2 linked regions of the Stegostoma tigrinum genome follow. The protein of the gene in region 1 interacts with the protein of each later gene in a pairwise test. Links are inferred from orthologs where the notes say so. Each region holds a gene or a part of one and is shown on either strand. Other genes may lie near its edges.

Region 1 (12,003 bases):
TGATAGCATGGTTTGATTTTCAGCACAGTAACACAATGAGGCTTAACAAGATGGAGGATGTGGTCAGTGGGGTTTCGAACCTTAGCTCTATGGAGGGTAGAATATCAGAGGCTGGCCAGGAGCATTTTGAAAGAGCCAAATCACATCAGCTTTATCTTGTACAATTATGAGCTTTCCTAAAAGCCATGGTAAATCAACAAGGAGAACAGTCATAGCCTACAGGCAGAATCCCAAGACAGCCAGCCAATCTACAAACACTGATACAAGGTAATATTGAGACACAAGCAATCGCTTCTGCAGTCTGTCATTGCAGCAAGTTTGTTTTCAATATTTTTTGTCTATAAATAGAGAGCGAGGGGACTGTAATTGGCCTTACTATCCAGCGTGTTAGCTGGCAAGGGTGACAAAGAAAAATAAAACTGGTTCAAAGTCCTTCTTTTCTCTGTCTGTATCCATGCCAGAAAATGCACAGGGGTGACTGTTGAAAGAGGCACGACTGGGCTTAGTTGTGTGCTGAAAGACATGGTTGAATATTCCGCAAACCAAATGGAAAAACTGCAACAATGTGGTACGATTTCTTGTGGCCTTCTGGAACAGAGGTAATGACTGAGGGTACACAGACCAATGATTTAGAACCCTCGTATTTTGTACGACAACCAATGTTCTCAATCATTAAGATCACAGTGAGAACATTTACTTTTACGTTAAACAGTAAAATGTTCAAGAATTCACCTCATCTCACACCACAAAACCTAGCGACAGATTATAGTTAACTCTTCATAATTCAAACTTTGGAGGTGTGATTTCTGTCACTCCACACAAGTCAGAGGGAGCTTAGAAAATCTCCTCCATTCACCATAACAAAACTCCCCACTCTACCTCCCTCCAGCCACATTGCTTCACATTCCTCTATCCCACATCGTCTCCCCAGCCACTCTCCTATCGTACATTTGCCGCTCCTCTCCTCAACAAATTTTACTGCTGGTTTGTTTAGCAAAAAATCAGCAGCACTGGTTAAATAAGTGAGTGAGAGAAAATGTAGCTACAGGTCCACAGCCTCATCCACCACTTGCACCTCAAATACTTCAAACTGTGGCTGGTAGTCCTCAGTTAAGTCCAATTCAGTACATCCATCTCGAAGCACTTGATTTTGAGGTCTCAAGATGGACGTGATTCGTGCCCGCAGACGACTCTCCCGCTTCCTGCTGGCCCGGAGCTCCTTGGTGACCTTCTCAAAGGCCTCTTTCAGAGCCTCTGCCTTCATCTTCCAAACCAGTGGGCAGCCTACAGTGTAACTGTGCTCAACAGGAATGTAGGCACCAGGTTTGGGAGGTGGATTGGGAATGCGAGCCATATACAACGCAATGGGGACAGGGTCCCTGTCATCATCCAGCTCCACTTGACAGTCAGGTGATTGTTCATTCAGAAGGACAGACTGAGGCAATGAGATGTCCTTGGAGGCTTCCTCTGTATTTCCAGCTGCCTCCAACTCAACAGACTGTGAATTCACTTCAATGAGATAAATGACAGCAGGAGTTGTGGCTTCTGGCTCCGGCTGGTTTATGGAGAGTGGTATGTCAGGAGTTGATGGTTCATACAAGCAGAGACTTTCACTCACTCTCTCTTGGGGATCAGAATAACCCAGAACAAAGGAAGAACCATCTTGAGAAATGCTGAAGGCCATCCCTGAGCTAGTGTCAGCATTCCTGAGATCAGGAGCAGGTAAACAGGCGCTGCCATCAGTGAAGCTGTTAGATAGATAGGAAGGAAAATAGCTGAAGGTTAATAAAAGGACAGGGAGTGACCAATTGTGGATATTTTAATGTCAGTTTCCTCCCCCTTTTCTCAAGAACTCTGGAGTGCTGTTCATTCTTCACTGCCTAACCAAAATGACCATTATCTGATTGTTGGCATACAAGCAGTAGTTACTGAATACTTGACTGAGATGGCATCACAATGAGCTTGACTGTGCCCTCATTTAACATCTCATAAATAGGTAACTACTTTAAGATTAAGAGTCTTGGCTCACTTGTCCCTTCCCTAATCCAGTGGTTGGAGACAGGCAGCACTCACCTACCCCTGACAGGAAACCGCAGTCTCTACATCAACTATCTGGTCTCTAACACCCGAGCATGCACTAGCCATTTGCACCGAGTCAATGAACAGAGTAATAGAAGAAATACAAAAAGCATTTTTAGTTAAGATATTGATTTCGAGTGAACAGCGTAAATGGTTTCCAAGCAGTATACATCCTGTGAATCACACGGCTGAAGCAGTCACCAGAAGTTTCTCACCATTCATTGGTGCGTACAGACAATGATTTTGCATTGTGTCCCCCACTCAGCGCCACCTTTGCTTGAGGACATGGCTGAAATAATGTGGGGACAGCGTCATCTCGCAGGCGGTGATAACGACTGGGGAAAGAAAACAAGGAAAGCAGTGAATTTCCGCCACACACACACACATCTCCCCCCCCCCCCCCCCCCCACCCCACCGGAAATAAAGCTGGCCTCAATTGTAATGTGTTGGACCTGCGTGATGATGGACCACAGTGATCAGAGGAACCTGGGTCTGATGGTACAAGGCAACAGATTTGAAAGGCCAGGGTGATCCACCAAACTATGTTCTGATGTTTTGGGAGAACGGACTGGGATCTGTTGGACTGGTGATCAGGTGATCTGGGAACTGATAAACAGTGGTGATTAGGTGAGCCAAGATCTGATGAGCTAAGGGATCTGATGGACCTTGGCAATCTAAGAGACTGTAAAGATCATGTGGACAAGGATCTGAGTAATACAGCACAGAAACAGTCCCTTCTGTCCAGCCAGCCAAACATAATCCCAAACTAACTAGTTCCACCCGTATGCACTTGGTCCACATCTCTCCAAACACTTCTTATTCATGAACTTGTCTAAATGTCTTTTAAAAGGTGTACCACTTTCTCTGGAAGTGCATTTCACACATGAACCACTCTATGTGGAAAAATTGCCACTCTTTTTTTAAATCTGTCTCCTCTCAACTTAAAAATATGCTCGCTAATCTTGAAGTTCCCCCACCCTAGGGTAAAAAATCCTACCATCCACTTTATCAATGCCTGTCATTATTTTATAAACGTCTATAAGGTCGTCCCTCAACCTCCTATTCTCCAGTGAAAGAATTTCCAGTCTATCCAGCCTCTCCTTAAAACTCAAACCCTCCATTCCCAGCAAGATCCTGGTAACTATCTTCTGAACCCTCTCCAACTTAATAATTTCCTTTATGTAACAGAGAGACCAAAATTGCATTACGTAACTCCAGAAAAGGAGTCAGCATAACGTCCCAATTCCTATACTCAAAGGTGTGAACAATGAAGGCAAGCATGCTTAAACACCTTAACCATCCTATCTATATGTGACATAAACGTCAAAGCCTCGGTCTCTCTGTTCTAGAGCCCTACCCAAAGCCCGACTTCTAACCGTATAAGTCTTGCCTTTGTTCATTTTACCAAAATGCAATACCTCACATTTATCCAAATTACACTCCATCTACCACTCTTCAGCCCACAGGTGTGATACAATTGATCTGATGTTCCAGGGATTGGGCAAACCAGAGTCTATCAGGTCTTGGTGATCTGATAGACATGGATCTGGTAATCCATAGTAATCTGTGGAGCAGTGTGTAATAGAATCAGAGAATCCCTACACTGTGGAAGCAGGCCATTCAGCCCATCAAGTCTACACCACAGCTCTGAACGGCATTCCACAATACCCCAACCCTATACCTATAACCATGCATTTCCCATGGCCAACCTACCTATAGCCTGCACATCTTTCAGGGCAATTTATCATGGCCAATCCATCAAACCTGCACATCTTTGATCTGTGGAGAGAAACTGGAGGATCCCTAGCACTGTGCAGTAGCAGTGCTAAACATTGAACCACCATGCCACTCAAATTATTAATGGGCTGTAGTGATTTGTTGAAGCAGGGCATATTGGACCAACATTTGACAGATGCTACAAATTACCTCAGCCCCACAAGCTCAAAACAGTGTTTCTCAAAATGTTTTGAACAGAAATAGATGAACTGCGACGGTGGATCCCACGGAACTGTCCCATCTGGATTCTTGCGGCAACAATTCAGCAACCAGATCTCACGCTGATGTCTTCCCTTCTTGGGCAACCTAAGTAAAATGAAACTCATGAGAAGTGAACGTGACCACAGTAAAATATGACTGGGTGGGGGATTAAACAGACCTCACTGAGGGAATCAACCTGAGGATAGGGAGAGGTCTCACTGACCTGTGAAACGTGACTCCATTAATTCTCGAATCCTTAGTGTCCCGTGATGTGCAGCCCTCAGCCGAGCAGTGTCGGGGCATTGCTCTGACCCCTGCATGACATAAGAAGAGTTCACCAGAGTCAGACCACATTGAACCCCATAGCCAGTAACCGCTCTTTGCTTGCGCCCAAACACACCATCTATTCATTCACACACCCAAATGGAAGCATGCACCATCTCTCCCCGCAGGCAAACCCTACGAATCCTGCTACTCAGTCTCTCCTCTCCCGTCCCCCCACCCCATTCCCTTTACAATTACCCTTCACCTCCCATCTCTTATTCCCCCCCCACCCCAAGCTGTCTCTTCTTTCTCACCCTGGTACAAATATCTCTCTCCCTCCTCATTACCTTCTACTCTATCATTCCCCTTCTTTCCTTTCTCTTCAATCATCCACTCCATCTCTGCCAGCCCAACCCCCTCCTTTCTGTCTTTTAACTCTCTTCTCCCCTTCCCAACCACCCCACACCTTTGCCTTACTCCATCACCTCACCTATTCCATCTTGCCTGTTCCCACAAGCTTCATCCCTTCCTTCCCCACAGTCCCCTACCCAAATCCAACCCCTCTCAATCCCACCATTTCACAATTCACCCTTCCAATTTCTCTAATGCCCCATCATCCCCCCCTCCAAATTCACCCTATACCCTATTCCCCTCTTCCTAACGCCACTCCTCATTACCCAACACTGACACCCACCGCAATTCCCTTCCCACCACCCAGGGTCTCCTTAATTACCCTCCCTCTGACTTTCTCTTCCTCCAGTCATCCCTATTACTTCCTTCCCTACTCCCACTTCTATATCCCACTCACCACCACCCACTAATCCCCACACATCACCTTTCTCCCCATCCCAATCCTTCCCATCCATCGTATCCAAGTCACCCTCCACATACCCATCACTCTCTTGACCATAATCCCCTCCCATTTCCACCCCATATCATTCGTATAATGGCCCCCATTCCCACACCATCCATTTTCCACCTACACCCCTCCCATCATCCCCTATCCCTCCATCCGTACCCTGCCCTGCCCCATGACTATAATCTCCTGTCGTTCCCTCATCACCCGACTCCTCGGAACCACCCCCAAGCCTATATCCCAATTATCTCTACTCCCACCCCTCCCCCAACAACCCTCTTCCCTCACTCTGTCCTCGTTGACCTCACCAAAATGGCCGACCTAAGAGCCTCAAACCTACGTCACGGCACTCAGACGCAGGGCGGAATTGGGAGCAGGTAGCGTTCTTGCCTTCACGACAATGGAAAGCTCAGGTCCAGAAATATTCGGGAAGACTCTGAGGAAATTCAGGTGGCTTCAATCAAGACAGCTACGTTTTTCCAGATCGCGATGTCGTTGCGCATGCGGAACAGGCGTTGTCGGTGGTATCCGCCTTGCGCCTTGACGTCGCCGCCGCGCTGCGCCATGACGCAAGGCCCGGCTGGAGACTGACTGGAGGTTAGTGTCGCCTGAGGGAGCGCGGCCCTGGGACCCTACCGGCCCAACAGAATGCAACCTAAAGAGTGCGGGTGCCAAGGCAGCCCAGGCCCTGACGATAATTCCGCCACCCCCTCCCCCCGCAGACTACTCCAGTACATCAAGGAAAGCGGAGCGGGTCAGGGGTCAATGGCCTCGCCTCGGCAGCTCGCTGATTCGATAGTAGCAAGCACGTGACAGCGTTCACGCCCCCCCACCCCCCAAAAAACTCCATCACGACAATACCCCCCCGTCCCACGTGTGTGTGTGTGTGGGGGAGGGGAATATCCCCCCCGTCCCACTGCTGTGTGTGGGGGAGGGGAATATCCCCCCCCCGTCCCACTGCTGTGTGTGGGGGAGGGGAATATCCCCCCCCGTCCCACTGCTGTGTGTGGGGGAGGGGAATATCCCCCCCGTCCCACTGCTGTGTGTGGGGGAGGGGAATATCCCCCCCCCGTCCCACTGCTGTGTGTGGGGGAGGGGAATATCCCCCCCGTCCCACTGCTGTGTGTGGGGGAGGGGAATATCCCCCCCCCGTCCCACTGCTGTGTGTGGGGGAGGGGAATATCCCCCCCCGTCCCACTGCTGTGTGTGGGGGAGGGGAATATCCCCCCCCGTCCCACTGCTGTGTGTGGGGGAGGGGAATATCCCCCCCCCCGTCCCACTGCTGTGTGTGGGGGAGGGGAATATCCCCCCCCCCGTCCCACTGCTGTGTGTGGGGGAGGGGAATATCCCCCCGTCCCACTGCTGTATGTGGGGGAGGGGAATATCCCCCGTCCCACTGCTGTGTGTGGGGGAGGGGAATATCCCCCCGTCCCACTGCTGTATGTGGGGGAGGGGAATATCTCCCCCCCCCCCGTCCCACTGCTGTGTGTGGGGGAGGGGAATATCCCCCCCCCGTCCCACTGCTGTGTGTGGGGGAGGGGAATATCCCCCCGTCCCACTGCTGTATGTGGGGGAGGGGAATATACCCCCGTCCCACTGCTGTGTGTGGGGGAGGGGAATATCAATCCCCCCGTCCCACTGCTGTGTGTGGGGCAGGGGAATATCAATCCCCCCGTCCCACTGCTGTGTGTGGGGCAGGGGAATATCAATCCCCCCGTCCCACTGCTGTGTGTGGGGGAGGGGAATATCAATCCCCCCGTCCCACTGCTGTGTGTGGGGCAGGGGAATATCAATCCCCCCGTCCCACTGCTGTGTGTGGGGGAGGGGAATATCAATCCCCCCCGTCCCACTGCTGTGTGTGGGGGAGGGGAATATCAATCCCCGCCCCACTGCTGTGTGTGGGGGAGGGGAATATCAATCCCCCCCCCCGCCCCACTGCTGTGTGTGGGGGAGGGGAATATCAATCCCCCCCCGTCCCACTGCTGTGTGAGGGGGACGGGAACGACCACCATTACCCTCCCCTGCACAAAATCCTGTTGTGAGGGGAGGAGACAGCCCCACCTACATATGCCAGAATGACACCACCAGCCGCTTCCCTTTCTCCAACCCCCGTGTTGTTCTCACACTCTCTCTGTCTTCATTTCCCCCATCCTCACTTTTTCCATTGGTTTGCAGGCAGTGCAGAGCAACTGAGCAGGATGTCGGAGCAGCTTCACAGCATCAACCTCCAAAACTTTAGCAAGTCACTGCTGGAGACACTGAATTCCCAGCGCCTGGGTGGCCATTTCTGTGATGTAACAGTGAGGATCCACAACACAGCTCTTCGAGCACACCGCTGCGTTCTGGCTGCAGCTAGCCCTTTTTTCCACGATAAACTTTTGCTGGGTTACAGCGAGATCGAGGTTCCTCCCCTTGTCTCAGCCCAGACTCTACGGCGGCTGGTGGATTTCATGTACAGCGGCTCTCTGATGGTCTCTCACGTGGAGGCTCTACAAATCCTCACAGCAGCAAGTGTCCTTCAGATTAAAACCATCATTGATGAATGTACACGCATTATTTCGCAAAATGCCTCACAAAAGACTCAGGGACTCCAACCATTAGTCAGCCAAAAGATGGACCTTTCTGATGAGAAAGAAGCCATTATTTGCCAGTCAGTCAGTGACCAGATCCACAAATTTTCTATGGGTTTAATTGAAACGGCATTGTCACCTCATGGAACAGAGAAAGACTTTGATTTTGTACGCGGAGGTACAAAGAACGTGGCAACAAGTGACACAGGGTACAAAGCTGAAGAAATTAGCCCTAATCTGAGCAGACAAGTTCCATCTACACGACAAAAGGGAGTTGGAGAACAGGCCATTGCTGACCAGGAGAATCTGTCTCTGATGGACACTGGCCGTAACAGTGAGGTACGTGCTCTATGGTACAACACTGCAGCCAATCAGCGTCCAGAAATGCCATTGTTAGCACAAGGCAGCCACAGTCGCAAGCAGCGCCAGCCAATCCGCCTCCAGATGGCAGATGGAAGTCAAGTGACCATCAAGGAAGAAGATGATGATCTCCTTTACTGTGGGGAGAGCATCTCCAGTGCAAGTGTCTCCGATCAAACTGCTGAGCATATCAACCAAAGTGAGCAAACTGAGGATATCTCTGAGACAAATGCCTTTGATCCCAATCAAAGCACAATGGGGGATCGAAGAGATTCTGCGAGTCATTTGAGCTTGACCGGCAAAGGGGATGAGCTGGAATTTTTCAATGCTAGTGATCTCTTACCTGAGGAACTGAAGTCCTTTTGGCATGGAGAGAAAGAGGAGAAGGAACCATCCTTACCACAAAACCGAAAAGCAGACTGCAAGTCTCAACTTGATGCATCCTACCAACGGCCTTCAACATTCATGCAAGACTTTCTCCCAGCATCAGCTGTGCACAACAGTCCACGAAACCAAGGCTGCTCTGTGCAGTATGATGTTCAGGGAGATAATAATGCAGCCAGTGCTGCCAGTCACCGAAACCTCTTCCAGATGAACGTTCCTCAGTCACCTCACCTTCCAGCTCTGCCGTCCACCTCACAGACATGTATACCCAGCATTTCAGCTCAGCCATCTTGCCAAAACCCGGCTGCGTTTCTAGATGGAGGCCAGACAGTCCCAGCTACCTCTCAGGCCAGTCACAGTTCCAGTGAAACCGAAAAGAAGCCCTATGGATGTGCACAGTGTGGGAAGACATTCAGTTCCAGACAGAATTACGCCAAGCACATGTTTGTCCACACAGGTGGGTTCATCATCATTGTTCATTTTAGTTAAAACCATTCTTTCAATCCCATTCTTTAACCCAGATGCTATTCCTAGGATGACTGGTGGAGAATAAATAGAGATTTAATTTAAGTTTTCTCCATTTCTTCCCTGAAGGTGCTGACTATCACTGGGGCATAGTTCCTAAAGGTTTTGACTTTCACTGCTGTCATTTGCCATAATGAACTCAGTGAGAATAAAATGAGGCTGATCGTGATCATTAAACCTGTTGCTTTATATGGCCGTGGCTTTATGTAATACCAATAGATGAAAAGCAATCATCACATTCAGAATCAGATCCCCTCACTGACAGGAAAGCAAAGCACCCGAGCCCTCTGAGCGCCATCAAGACTTATTTTAAATTCTGTGTGATATGTACTAGGAGCACCTATATGTTACTGCAAATTTTGCTGTGGTGCAGCTATCCTCGTTGGATCAGCCAATGGAAGACCAGGCAGGAATGTCAAGGGTTGGGTGTTAGCTGAGCTGGAAATGGCTAGAATGAGAGTTCCAGGAAGCACAGATCTGGCAATTATGGAAAACAAAGACCTGTGGATGCAGGAGCCTGGTTCTCCAGTTCTGGGCCATTTGCCATTTTTAAGAAGGATCAAACTGGAAGCCATCTCCAAGTACGTCAAGTCCTGGCTCACTATTACTAGTTACTCGATGCTTTCTCCTCTCCTGGAGATGTTGAGACATATTGCAATATTGGAGGCTGGCCAGCCACCTTTTTAAATGACCAGGCTCCGAATATCCAGCAAAGTGACAAGGCAGTGGTCAGGAACAATAATTTTGTTTGGTTTTCCTTTATCCCTAGCCTTGTGATGCTGATGGTGACCGCCGAGCAACACCACCCTCCACGCCTAATGCTGTTGCATCCGTTACTTAGCTCAGGTTGGCAATGAAAACTGAATATGTGCACGGTCTGCTGCTTCTCGCACATTAGGCCATCAGTTCATTACCTACTGAATGGTTTTTAATGATGTTCATTTTCTGCCATTGCAGTCTCACTTTTCTCTGATTTACTGACCTCATTTCTCCCCACCTCTGCAGGTGAAAAACCCCATCAATGCAGCGTGTGTTGGCGGTCATTCTCGCTTAGGGACTACTTGATAAAACATATGGTCACGCATACAGGAGTGCGAGCGTACCAGTGCCCGGTGTGCAATAAACGTTTCACACAGAAGAGCTCCTTGAATGTGCACATGCGGCTGCATCGTGGTGAGAAGGCTTTCGAATGTCACGTCTGTAACAAGCGTTTCTCTCACAAGACTTTGCTGGAAAGGCACATGGCCACCCACATTATATAAACACGTGTGTGAGGCTGAACCAAGTAAATTCCACATGTGCTGGATTTACCTGGGATAATATGCATACTGAGCAGACCCACTTCATGCACACCAGGAGGTTGTGGTCAGAGTTATAAATCAGCTATACAGCAACGGTGTAAACACAGGATGGGATAGTTGAGAATACAGCGCAACATCCCCCCCACCCAACCCCCAAATAAAGCAAGGAAGCTCCCCAGATTGTTCAGTGAGTGTGCCATCCAGGTGAACGGAGAGCAGAAGGAGTCATTTTAATTCCCAGTCTATGTTGACGTAACTCACCTAGTCAGGATACCGAAGTTGGCATCTACACCAATGGGAGGAGAACTAGCCAAGGTTCTTGTGTGTTAATTTTGAGTATGGACAAAATCGGATTTAACTCTCACAGTGAAATATTACACAGGTATTTTCAACCCAGGCTTATGTTAGGGCAGGTCTCTTGGAGCAGCACATGGGTCGTAAATGTCCTGCAAACCCATTTCCAAAAAATAGTTGAATGATGCTGTTAAATTATGCATAGGAATCTGACAAAAGCTAATTGATCAGTGAAGTAAAAGCGTTATCAGAATAATCTCAGCTTTTGAGAGTTTGCAAACAGCAGTCCTGATGAATCTGCTCTAGTTTTATAGCTCATTGTGACAGCTGTTCACATTAGATCAAGCTCAAGTTATATTATCTTACTACATGAATTAAATAATAAATAAACAGCTAGCTAAATCAGTCATGCCATAATATTTTAAACATTGCATGGAATTTTTACTTTGTTAATTAATAAGATAACTGTGGTGTTCTGATGTGTTAGGGGAATTACAATTGAGAGTAAATTTCTGCTCAGTCACACTCACCATTTTCACCCTCTTCTCAATTTGATTAAAGTTGCATCATTTAACAGTGCCAGTGATAATGGGAACTGCAGATGCTGGAGAATTCCAAGATAATAAAATGTGAGGCTGGATGAACACAGCAGGCCAAGCAGCATCTCTCTGATGAAGGGTCTAGGCCCGAAACGTCAGCTTTTGTGCTCCTGAGATGTTGCTTGGCCTGCTGTGTTCATCCAGCCTCACATTTTATTATCATTTAACAGTGCATTTTGTTTAGGAAATTTTCCAGTCTGCGAAAGCACAGTCCTGTGACCCCGTCCCCTTCTCTTCTCACCACCACCTCCATCCCACTCCCTCCATACACATGCCTCCCACTCCTGCAGTTTATCAGTGATCACTCTCAGCAGATTCCTCAATGTCCCAGGCATTTGATTGTGTTGATAGAGCATCCTTCATTCACAAACCAGGCATGGGCTTCCTCCCCTCCCTGGTGCATATATCAGGGTTCTGCCTCAGGCAAGGAGGAATAGTATTTGTTCTCAATCTGACACTGGGAAGACCCAGTCAGTAATCCTTGGTAATAGGCAGTTTATTTTAGTGAGCTCCTAGCCTGTCTACCGAGCTGATGCTAACATATTCTAAGGAGGCCAGGTACGCCACTGACTTGTAGCCCGACAATGCAGACCTTCAGAGCTGAGCAGTATCCCCTGTGGTTGGTCACACTGGATTTTGGTGTGTTAGTGAAAGGATAGTCAGTTTGTTTCCTATCCTGGTCAAAGACCTTGATTGGAGTTGTAAATGTGAAGAAATTGAATGAGGTAAGGACCCAGATTGCACTTGACTATCTCTTTCCCTTTCCTTTGGCACTTACTGTTCAGGTCAGTAGG
Region 2 (12,393 bases), on another chromosome or scaffold:
AACTGGCAGCTTTTCAAGGCATGGCTTCCTCGCAAGACAATGGCAAAGGCCTCACCCTAAAGTGCTCTCAAGTTGCGGTGGAGCTATATTTGGGGCAATGAGCTGGCTCCCCACAACATTTTAAGCTTGGGGTGGGAATGGGGATGGGGATGTAGACCAAAATATCTTATAAAATCTAGCCCTCTAACTTTCGAACTGAACCACAAGCCTGATAAATGAGTTAGTGTCAAAAAAAAACTCCAGGGCTTCTCTTTCTGGAATGTACCACCAACATATCTCCATAATGCTTGGTCACTATCGCCCATATCTTCATCAATAGTCATAGTGGTTGGCCCCTGGTTGACAATTATGGTGGTGTCAGCTATGAAGCGAATGATCATAGTACGTAGGGGTGGTAATGAACATTTAAGCTAATATAGAAAACAAACTTTCTGCTATAAAGAGTCAGATACCAAGGTTCCTGTGGGATCACACATTGATCCTTCTGATGTTGTCAACCTCCACATCTCTTATAACTGACTACACAGTGATACACCACAAAATGCTTTGCTCCTACAAGCCACTAATATCTGGGGGTAATAAAATGTGAGGCTGGATGAACACAGCAGGCCAAGCCCATCTGGGGGTGGTCAGGATTTTCCCCCACGGCCAGGCTGTACTGCTTTGTAAACCTTTACTGTCCCATAATGCTTTTGTTCGCTAAACCAGCATAATTTCAACAACTATCTGCTCTCCACTCTAAGAACATTCCAATTCGATGGAACACAAGCACTGATGATAGGTTCACTGTTGTTAATGACCTTGCCTGTCAGCTAATGAATTTCCAGCTGTTACACTGCCCATTTATCCATCACCTACATGTTCACTGACTCACAATGGCACCCAGTTAAAGGATAACCTCAAATTCTCATCCTTTTATTCAATTCCCTCCAAGGCCTTGACTCTGTAAGACAGCAGTGCTCCTCCAATTCTATTCTCTTGCACATCTCCAATTTTAATTGTTCCATGATTGGTGGCCACACTTTCAGTTGCTAATAGTTCTAAACATTGGAACTCCCTCCATAATCTCTCCCTTCTCTCCTGTTTCCCTCCTGAAGAATTAGTTCTGATAAAGCATTTGATCATCTGACCTAATATTTCCTTATGAAGCTCACTGTCACAGTTTGTCTGATAATGTTCCTACAAAGAACCATTTCACAACAATAAAAGTACTACACAAGTGCAGGTTTTTGTTCTTGTCACAGAGGAACATAAATCAGGAATGTAAAATGGACCTGGTTATGTCATTTAAAACCAAAAATGATGCAGACTATGCATTCACCATTCAGTCACAATGGTATATGAGTTAGCTCCACCATGTGGTAAACTTCTTCCCACACAAAGAGGCCCAACAATCTCAGAATCTGAATGTGAATTATTATTGCACTGCGGTTGAAATAACTGCACTTCGAAATAAGCTGTTCAATCACACTTCAAGAATTCACAGGATTGAAATACATGAAATCTCTAGTTTACTGATAGAAAATTAAAATTTCCTTTCTGGAAGAGATCAAAACCAAAAAAAACTACAACGTCATTGACATCAGTCACTCTCTGGCAAGTCATTCAATTGGCCATTCAAGTATAAGCAATATGGGGCTGTTGGAGATGAGAACCCAGGATGCTTTTTACCCTCCTTACCCATGTGAAGTGGAGGCCTATTTTTACTTGTCATAACTGGTATCATGACGCAGCTCATTTTGACAGCATCTTTGGATGTGAAATTAATTGGCTCAGCTTCAGCAAAAGGGGAAGAAAAGAACTGGTTTGCTTTGGAGTTACATGTAGCTTCCTCCTGTTTACTTTCCTTGTGTTACAAATACAAGTGTTACATGGTTTTAAACTACTGACATTGAAACACCGATACCCAAAAATACACAGATGTGTTTCACTGTTCAATCTAAATTTCCCAAATTTCTCTCTCAAAGATAGCTGAAATTCAATGTCAAAAATGAAGTTTTAACCTGTCTATTTGGTAACAGTTTGTGCTACGCACAATATCTGTATATGCATTGAATAATAGCAATTTTGATAAGCAGTTTCTATTCACATCTCAGGACACTAATTTTTTTTTGAAGGGGCAACACTCCTGAGCATTAGGAAGAAGGTTTTAGAACATAAATTTGTAATTAAATCATTTCTCACTTTGGAATAAAGGGGGAAAATCTTTTGAATGCCTTTTCAGTTGGCAACACAGAAGTAATTGTTTCTATAATATCATTTGCCTTTATTCTATGGAATCTACACCAGTTTGTTTGCAATCTGTCAGGGGCAAGGATATGAACCTGTATGATGCGCAAACATTGAATCTTTTCTTTTCCCCAAGTCACACCGAGCAATTTGGATAATGCGGGTAGGACACCGTCTGAATGCAGTGGCATAATCTTTTTGGCATGGATTAGTTAACAGGTTTTATAATAACCTGATACAAATTGTGGCAGTCTCTTCGAGTCTATCATTTTGTCTAGGATGCTTATACTCCAGTGTAAACTCTCTCTCGGAGCTGTTCCTCTCCATCACTAAACCTCCCATTACCCAAAGTTAGTACATTCACCCGACCCTGGATCAAGGCTCAGCAGATCTGAGGCCGCAAACCCATATTCCTACCTACACACGGACCCTACCGCACCTTCCTCAATATGCTGCTGCATCCTTTGGCTAGGAGAACCACTAACCAATCCTCTGAACCCAAACTCTCTCATACTCAGCCTAGAACCTGGAAAATTAACCCCTTTCAAACTCACTCACTTACAGATTTCCGTCTATGAACAAAATGTTGCATCCCCTGTTGGTCAAAATCTAATACAACAAATACAGTCTAATTATAAAATGCATGGACTAAGTCAGAACCATCAGTATCACTAACAGTAGCAACAAATCTGGAGAAATACTCGAAGCTGTTTTGCATCTTCTGCAGGCCAGTCACCCACTTACAGCCAAATATTTTAGCATTACCTGCACCCTGCCATGTTTGTAGATTCTTAACAATACTGCACACTACAGCCCACCATCTCCCCACAAGTCAATAGGAAATCCTGACTAGGAATGCCACCAGTTCTAATACTCTAGCATAAAGATCTATGCAATCATAGAAATATCTCAAACCCCTAAATTTGCAATATGTCAGGAGTATATTATAGCATACACTGTGTACTCAAACTTGTTTTACTTGCATAATTTTCAAGGATATGGGCACTGTACAGGAGAATGGCCAATTCCTGCTCCAATGTTCCTATAAAAGGGTATATTCTTAAGAATAGGAATGTTAAATTTCTAAGACTGAAGGAGGAATGGGTAAATATCCCACTTCACTTCTCCCATGTCCCCAATATTTTTGGATCCATCAACCTCTGAAACCCATTGTTTTTGAACCTACAAATTCTCTTTCATTTCTAAAGACTGCTTCACTTGACATAATTAGCTGTATCAGAAATAACCTGCTCATATACTGTAGAAATATTACAAAGCAGATGAATATTGGATAGGGGATTATACAATTTGAGTGATTGGAATTGTAAGACAAAAACTGAAGAATGCATAGTTGCCACGTCAAAAGGTAATGTTCATTTACAGCTCATTCAAACATATCCTGTGCTCCTGCACATCAGACACCACCAGTCTTATCAGAGCACAATGTATTTAGTTTGAACAAAATCAGCATTGGTAAGAACACATCTAAAATACTACATACAGCTTTGCTTTCTTATTGGGGAAGGTTTATATTCACATTGGATGAAGTTTAGAAAGTTCAGAGTCACCTGGGATGAACCCATTCTTTACCCAGCAAAGGGAACAGGTTGGACCCTACTCCTTACAGTTTAGAAGGCTTTGAATCCTCTATGTTTCAATTAGATTCTAAGTGTGCCTGACAAGGCAAATCCTAGGAGAACGTTTCCCTTTGTGGGGAGAATCTAGAACAAAGAATAAGGGGTTTCAAAACAGAGAAGGAATTTCTTTTCTCTCAGAGGGCTCTTAATCGTTGGAACGGGAAACTGGGTTGTTGAATTTAATCACGGTTGTTAGAAATACCTTTGATCCTCAAGAAAATCAGGATTATAGGGGGTGCGGGGAGGGGAAGATTCTGAGTTGAGGCCACGGTAAAAAATTAGCCATAATCTTATGATGGAAGGTTCACGAGGCCAAATGGTCTACACCTGTTACTATTTCTTACGCCTTTATTCGCAACGTTAGCATAAATCTTCAGTGAAATTTGCAGTGGGAGGGACCGATCGTATGGACAAAGCGACCCCCAGAGACAAAACAGGTGGAGTAGGAAATTATAACTTGACAAATCGCAATGGGAAAGTTAAGTAACTTGTATATAAAATAAGCAAAGGCTCCAGTACTGGCGTTAGTTCTGACCTTGAGTGGAAGTTGATCCTAGAGACGAGATAGATACAGGAATCAATTCCGAGTGTCTATGGGTTACTCAGATTAGGGCGTGGTTTAGCCTCAAAAGTCGCGAATTGCTAACTGACAATCAGAGATCCTCGCCAATTTAATGCAGAATGGATTCTTCTCAGAGCTAACTCAGATCACTTATTCATGCACCTGACCTTTTATTTTGCATCAGCCAGCAACATTAATTTACTTGAAATGAAGCGTTAACTCAAATATCTATTCAAACGTCGTTGTAAACTGACTCAGTGTTTCAACAAAAAAAGACAAAAGTCACATTTGAAGCAGTTAATTATTAACTGAAATGTTGTGGAAAATGTTGATTCAATAGGAAACAAGTCCCATTACCTCAACAAGTTTTCAAACTATTGCACAGCGGAGAGAGCAAAGACCCCTCCTCAGAGTCAAGTACAGAAGCTTGTGACTTGGGTCCCGACACTGTTCCCAATCCTGAAGGGAGTATTTCCTTTAACCTGATAAAGGAACAATTTCTTAAAATCAGTCTAAGTGAGTTTAGTTTTAAAAATGAAAGACTAGGTGTGAGATCATTTCGTAACATTCAGTGAAGGGGTTAATGTGAAGATTTCTCAGGTGAGATCCGCCTGGGGGTCACAATTGTTTGCTAAATGCAGCCGGTCAATGCCGGGAGCACTTCCGTAGGATTTAGGCAGAGCTCCCGACAATATAAGTATCGAACATCTACTTATTGCAACCTCCATAGGAACGGCGTTGCTGGCGGAAATGAGATAGTCATACGCTACAGCCGACTCGCCCAGAATTTACCTGCAGACGCCAAGCTGTAACGTTTTTTTTAAAAAAATCAACACCCTACCCCCTCACCATTTCCAGCCGGAGCATTCGGATCTTCTCGGCCAGCCCCTGGGGCAGCTTCTTGTTCTGCCCAGGGAACAGCGCCGCCTGGTCCCCGCTCGGCCCAGCAGTGTCCACCTTCTCCCCGGCTAGCCGCGCTGCGTCCTCCCGCAACCACCGCAGCAAGCCTTCTGGCGTCTTACGTCCAACCTTATTTTCCAGATCCTTCAGATCCGGCAACAATTCGCTCGCACTATCTTCCATGACAAGATCTATGAATCGATGTGTTGGTCCAAAGGGATTCAGTCCGGTTAAAACCAAGCAGACTAGCTCTGTTCCCCACCAGGCACCCTCCCTAGGATACACATTTCCCTACTGAGCCTCTGTCTTCCCCGGCCCCGGCGCCGCTTCACACCAATTTCCACCTGCAGGCATCGCTGAATGAATGAATGAAGAGACTGCGGCGAAGACAGCTCCGGCTCTGTCACCCGACCCTCTCTACCGTAATGGAAAGAAACAAAGCGCCACTCAAAACCTACCCCCGCTCACGCTGCCCTGGCCTTGTGCTATTCCCCAGTGTTCGGAGGAGACAAAAACGGAACTCCGCCGTCAATCCAACTGCCGTTCCAGTCCCAATGTCACCACTAAACCTTCTTCCTTTCCACTTTGTGAGTGAATGCAGCACAAGGGCATATGAAAAGGATACAGCCACCAACAGTTCGCAGATTTCAGGTTGCAGAGCAGGAGGCCATTCAGCCCTTCACGTCTGAACCGGATTTTCTAAGGAATGTCTAATACGGTACTATCTCTCCGTAATCCCGCATGTTATTGATCAGATAGCTGTCTGATTCCCTGTTGAATACCTTGGTTGAATTTATCTTCATCAAATTCTCAAGCAAAATTCGAGAGCCTGCCTGCTCGTGAAAGTACCTTGACTTTTTTTTCCCAGTTAACCTAAAACTGTGTCCTCTGTCTCTTCGCAAGCGGCAACATTTTCTCACTGCTTACTCCGTCCAGACCTCACGATTTTGAATGCTTCCAATCAAACCTCCTCTCAACTTCTCCAAAGGAAAACAGTCCTTACTTCTCCAATCTATCTTTTTTTTCTGCACCTTCCCCAGTGCACGCACACAGCCTTTCTAATATGCAGCGTTCAGACCTGGACACAGGGCTCTAGCTGAGTCAGAAAAAGCATCTCTGCAACTGATCCCTCACACTCTGTTCCCACAATAACCGCCGAAACAGAATCCCCCTCCTCCTCACATACCACCCCACCAACCTCTGGATACAACGCATCATCCTCCAACACTTCCGCCGTCTGCCATCCGACCCCAACATTTTCCAGATATTTTCCATCCCTACCCTTGTCTGCTTTCCAGAGAGCCCACTCTCTCCGGGACTCCCTTGTACGCTCCATACTCCCCTCCAACCCCACCACTCCTGGAACTTACCTCTGCAACCACAGGAAGTGCTACACTTGCCCCACACCTCCTCCCTCCACCCCCATCCCAGGCCCCAAGAAGACTTTCCACATCAAGCAGATTTTCACCTGCACATCCGCCAATGTGGTGTACTGCATCCGCTGTACCCAGTGTGGCTCCTTCTACACTGGGGAGAGGCTTGGGGACCGCTTCGCAGAACACCTACGCTCGGTTCGCAGTAAACAACTGCACCTCCCAGTCGCAAACCATTTTAACTCCCCCTCCCATTCCTTAGACAACATGTCCATCTTGGGCCTCCTGCAGTGCCACAATGATGCCACCCAAAGGTTGCAGGAACAGCAACTCATATTCCGCTTGGGAACCCTGCAGACTAATGGTATCAGTGTGGATTTCACAAGCTTCAAAATCTTCCCTCCCCCCACTGCATCCCAAAACCAGCCCACCTTATCCCCACCTCCCTAACCTGTTCTTCATCTCACCTATCCCCTCCTCTCACCTCAAGCCAGACCCCCATTTCCTACCTGCTAACCTCATCCCGCCCCCTTGACCAGTCCATCCTCCCCGGACTGACCTATCCCCTCCCTACCTCCCCACCTACACTCACCTTTAATGGCTCCATCCCTGCTCTTTAACTTTTCTGTCTCCTCTCCACGTATCTTCTCCTCTATCCATCTTCGATTCGCCTCCCCCTCTCTCCCTATTTATTTCAGAACCCTCACCCCATCCCCCTCTCTGATGAAGGGTCCAGGCCCGAAACGTCAGCTCTTGTGCTCCTAAGATGCTGTTTGGCCTGCTGTGTTCACCCAGTTCCACACTTTGTTATCTCATACAAGTTTTGGGTCCCTTTAGATAAAGCCCAGGATAGCTTTATTATCGGTTCTGCTATCTTTAATGAACATGCACATTCCGTTTAGAGTTGTACCCTTTATATTTTCTCTCCTTGTTCTTCCTGCCAAAACCTTTAACTTCCCTGCATTGGACTTCATTGATTGCCGCCTCTGTCTATTCCTCAATGTTTCTATGTCCTTCTGAGGTTCACTACAATACTCCTCTCAATGAACCATGCATCCAAGTATCATATCATCAGCAATTTTTGAAAGTGTGCTCTTTGCACAAAGATCAAGATCATTAATATGTGTCAAGGAAACCTGGGGAATCCAACAGTGCAAACTATGGCCAGCCTGGAACTCATCCATTAAAAATTTCCCTTTGTTTCATATTACTCAAAATTATTGTATTCATATTGATACTGTGTCATTCGTTGAGATCTAACTTTCTTCACAAGTCTGTTGTTTGAACTGTCTCTTCTAGAAGTCATGTATACTACATAAACTGCATTGCCCTCAAGAACCGTCTGTTACTACTTTTAAAAAAATCAGCAAGTTAGTCAGACATGTTGTGCTCTTGAGAAATTCCCTTAAAGTGCCACTCAAAACAGTGGTTGCCTCAGGATTGCAGTGGGCTTTTACCGGAGGATTGATAAGGAATCCTTTCCAGCCAGGTTACAGGGCTGGGATGAGATTGCCAGGAAGGAAGAGGTTGACAATGGCTGGGTCGTGGCTTCTTATGAGTACACCCTCCCTACCCTTTCCAATTTCAGGTCTCTCAATCCGTCACAGGATAGGCTTACAATGAGGGCCCCTGTGGTATGTCTCATCCGCCACAGAAAGCAAAACCTGAAACTGATTGACTAACAACAGTGTCAGGATGAAGCCATTAAGTTGCTCCAAAATAGCTACTTAAGATCCTCAACTGGTGTCCAAGAGGAATGGCCAACTTCAGACATTCTTGGACTTCAGTGGAGAGAGGTAGGAAGGTGGTGGAAACTCAACCCCTCCCACCTGATCATATGGATGTTCTCTCCTCCCTCTCACATTCTTTCTCCCCTCCCCATCAATCTACTTTACTCCTCCCCCTACTGCTTCTGCCATGTTCAACCTTCTCTCTCATCCCCTTCCATTCCCATTCCTGTCTTACACGTGACTCCAGACCCACAGCAAGGTGATTGATTCTTAACTGCCTACTGATATGGCCCAGCACACCTCTTAGTTCAAGGGCAATCAGGGATGCTCAACGAATGGTGGCCTTTTCAGGGAAGTCCCTGTCCCGTGAGAGGAAAATGGGCATGGAATGATACAGTATAGAAGAACATCATTTGACTCATCATTCTTATACCAAAGTGAAGCTATTCAGTTTATCTCATTCTTCTGCTCTTTTCCAAACATTTTCCCTTCAAATGTTCACCAAATATCCTTTTGATTGTTTACTATTGAATTAATTTTCACCATTCTCTCAAGTGATGCACTCCAGGGCTCCACTCACTTACTACCTATGATTAATGATGAACAGAATTTGGAATCCACTAAGTGGAACTATGTAACATCTGAGTCAGACAATGGAGCTGGCACAATGACACAGAGGCTATTGTCAAGCATTACAGCTTCTAAAATTAATGAATAGTATAACTAACCTCAAAGTACTATTCATTAGATGCAGGTTTTACACAAACTCTGTTCGTTAATTTTGTGTAAATATTGAAATATAAATATTGAACCCTAAATCATTGTTGATGCATTCACCGAAACATATAAGACAATGGGCTTTAGGCTAAACATCCGAAAGACAAAGGTCCTCTGCCAGCTTGTTCCCATTGTACAGGACTGTCACTAGAACTAAACTCAACCCTAATGTGACGGTCAAGATCTATGGCTAGCCTCTGGACAATATGAATCACTGCTTCACTGGAACAAAGATTAAGAGAAAATTCAACATCACCTCCAGTATGCCAGCACAGCCTTTAGACACCTGAGAAACTGAGAGTTTGTTAAGAAAGACTTCAAATCTGACATTGAGTTCATCGTCTGTGGCAGCAATATTACTTACATTCCTGTGCGCTTCAGAAATATGGACAAGGCACAACATACATCTCAAATCTTTAGTGAAATTTAACCAATGGTGACTTCACAAAATCCTGCAAACCAGTGCCACCAGAGGCAGTCCAAAGAGCACAAAATGAGATTTGATATTTGAGATGTCGAGATGCTGAGCTTTTCCAGCAACTTTGTTTTCGTTCCTTTCGTCTTCAGCTGCTTCATCAATGATTTTTTCCTTTATCATAAGGTCAAAAGCAGCAAAGTTCACTGGTGATTGGACAATGTTTGACATGATTTGTGATTATCCCAGGTACTGAAACAGTTGTGCCCAAATGAGCAAGATCTGGACAATATTGAGGCTTGGCCTGACAGGTGGCAAGTAACATTTGTGTTATATAAGTGCCGGGCAAGACACGAGAGAATATGATCATTGCTCCTTGACATTCAATGGCATTACTATCACTGAATTTGTCACTATCAATGAATTTGTCACTGTCAACATCCTCGGATTACCATTGACCAGACATTGAACTGAACCAGCTGTGCAAGCATTGTGACAAAGGCTAAGAATTCTGCAGTGAATGCCACACATTTTGGGTTCTCAAAGTTCCTCTCCAGCTGACACATCATCTTTTTGCTGCTATTTTGTGAAGGATAAATCAGAGTTAATATTTCGGGTCCGGTGACCCTTCCTCAGAACTGAAGATGATTGGGCCTAGGACACGGCCCTGAGGAATTCCTGCTGCAATATCCTGTGACTGAGATGACTGACCTCCAACAACCATAACTATCATCTTTTGCACTATATATGACTTCAATCAGTGGAGAGTTTCCCCTTGAATTCCTGTTAATTTCAGTTTCAGTGGGTTCAAGGACTCAATGGTCCACACTCTATCAAGTGCTGACTTGATATCAAGGGCAGTGACCCTCTCTTTCCCTGTTGAGTTCAGCTCTTTAGACCATGTTTGGACCAAGGCTACAATGAGTCAAGAGCTGAGTGGATCTGGCAGAAATCAATATCAGTGTCAGCCAGCAGTCTGTTGTTGATTAACTGGCACTTGATAGTACTGTCAACTATACTGTCTATTATTTTATTAATGATTGAAAGTAGGCCATTGGAGTGGTAACTGATTGGGTTGGATTTGTCCTGATTTTTGTGTACAAGACATAACTGGACAATTTTCCATACCGTAGGTAAATGCCAGTGTTGCAATTGGATAGGAACAACTTGTCTAAGGACATATCTAGTTTGGGCATAAGTCTTCAGTATGATCGCTGGAATATTTTCAGGGCCCATTGCCTTTGCAGTACCCAGCAACTCCCAGTTGTAATTTGATGTCATATAGGGTGAATCAAATTGGCTGTAGGTTGGTATCTAGAATGCTGGGAATCACAGGAGGAAACTGAGATGGACGTCAACGCTTGTTTACAGAGTGATACACAAAAATGAATTGGTGGCTTTTAACTCAGACTACCACAGCCATTCATGAATTCCACAGCCATTCGTGAATTTATTGTCCAAAAATGTTATCAAACTCTATTCAGGATCTTCACTTGCATAAATATTAGGCTCGTTGCTGTATTTCACAGAGACAAGTTTTCTCCAAAAAATAACGAATCAATTTCGACTGCACTGCTTTAATAACATGGATTCTGCATCTTGGTATACAAATTTAATATTTTTGTAAACTTTTCACCAGTATTTAACTTTTGGTGAATGCAAATTATTGTTCAGCTTATAATTCTTTTCCTTAATTTCACAACCTTGAACATCAAGCACTTCCTTTCTAAAATACAGATTTATGCTCAAAAGCAAATTTTCATAAGTTTGCTTTAAAACTGTTTAAAACTGTAGGGATAAGTATTAATTTAGTACTAATGGTCAAGGGGTTTTTTTTTTGGTCTGGAATTGATTAAATTGCACAATTCTAATGACTTACTGCATAGCCTAAAATATTTGCACTGATCCATCAGTAATTTAATGGATCTATTCACTGACAAAAATCTTTGCTGGTGTCAGCCAAACAGCATATCAAAATCTTTTGTATCACACATGTTGGGTCTTCAGAGAACTACTGAAAGATGATGGTCATCCTGCCAAGAAAATAAATGTATAATTACTTCGATAAAATGCTAAAAGGAGGAAATAGTTTACATTTTATATTCTTATTGCCTTTGTGACATTTATAATAACTTTATCCTGTGAGAGACAAAACCTGCCTCTAAAATAGTGGAATATCTTCCTAGAGAGTCACTACTATTTTTATAGACAATGTTAAGTGTCTGAAGGATGAGAAGCTGTCTGTCTGTACTCTCTCTCATTTCCAGTTATTCCATTTCCATTATTTACCACATCTTCTCTATTCATTACAACTTAGTGGTATTCTTCACCTTGGATTCCCAATAAAAGAATGTCATTAATACTGTTAAAGAGCTTTCAGTTACATACAAAACTTAATGTTGCAATTGTTTGTGATTTTATGAAACACAGCTCCCTTAAAACTTAGTATTTTAATTGTTTTTGTTCAGTGAGAAAGTTAATCCAAACATCTGAATTTTTAAAACTGAGATCTGATACCTATGAAGTTTAGTTCTCAATGTGGTTTTGTAATTAGGAAGATACTGGTGCATAGAAAATTATTTATTACACGCAAAGACTGTGTTAATTGTGTATGACGTCAAGATGCACATTTTACTTTGCCAGTAGAATACTGACCTCTAGTGAGCTTTTGTGAAAAGCACTGATGTGTTCCACAAGATGTCACCCTTTAGCGATTGAGACAAAATTTGTCATCTGAAGAATGAGTATGCATAAGTCCAAGATGTGAAGT

What was found.
Region 2: the proteins of thap7 (region 1) and lurap1 interact in a two-hybrid assay, tested with the Homo sapiens proteins (2 studies listed by BioGRID and IntAct). The two-hybrid records come from large-scale screens. The link is inferred for Stegostoma tigrinum from reciprocal best matches to the Homo sapiens genes THAP7 and LURAP1.

Annotation. Positions count from the first base shown.
Region 1 is NC_081391.1:26,350,190-26,362,192, forward strand, and holds the start of thap7 (THAP domain-containing protein 7), read right to left. Parts: upstream 4,805-12,003; 5' UTR 4,720-4,804; coding exon 4,668-4,719; intron 4,371-4,667; coding exon 4,280-4,370; intron 4,162-4,279; coding exon 4,006-4,161; intron 2,415-4,005; coding exon 2,295-2,414; intron 1,749-2,294; coding exon 1,043-1,748; 3' UTR 1-1,042. Other genes in the region: zinc finger and BTB domain-containing protein 20-like, read left to right, coding at 7,375-8,947, 10,021-10,277. UniProt on the Homo sapiens protein: Chromatin-associated, histone tail-binding protein that represses transcription via recruitment of HDAC3 and nuclear hormone receptor corepressors.
Region 2 is NC_081361.1:65,209,827-65,222,219, reverse strand, and holds the start of lurap1 (leucine rich adaptor protein 1), read right to left. Parts: upstream 5,749-12,393; 5' UTR 5,512-5,748; coding exon 5,278-5,511; intron 1-5,277. UniProt on the Homo sapiens protein: Acts as an activator of the canonical NF-kappa-B pathway and drive the production of pro-inflammatory cytokines. Promotes the antigen (Ag)-presenting and priming function of dendritic cells via the canonical NF-kappa-B pathway.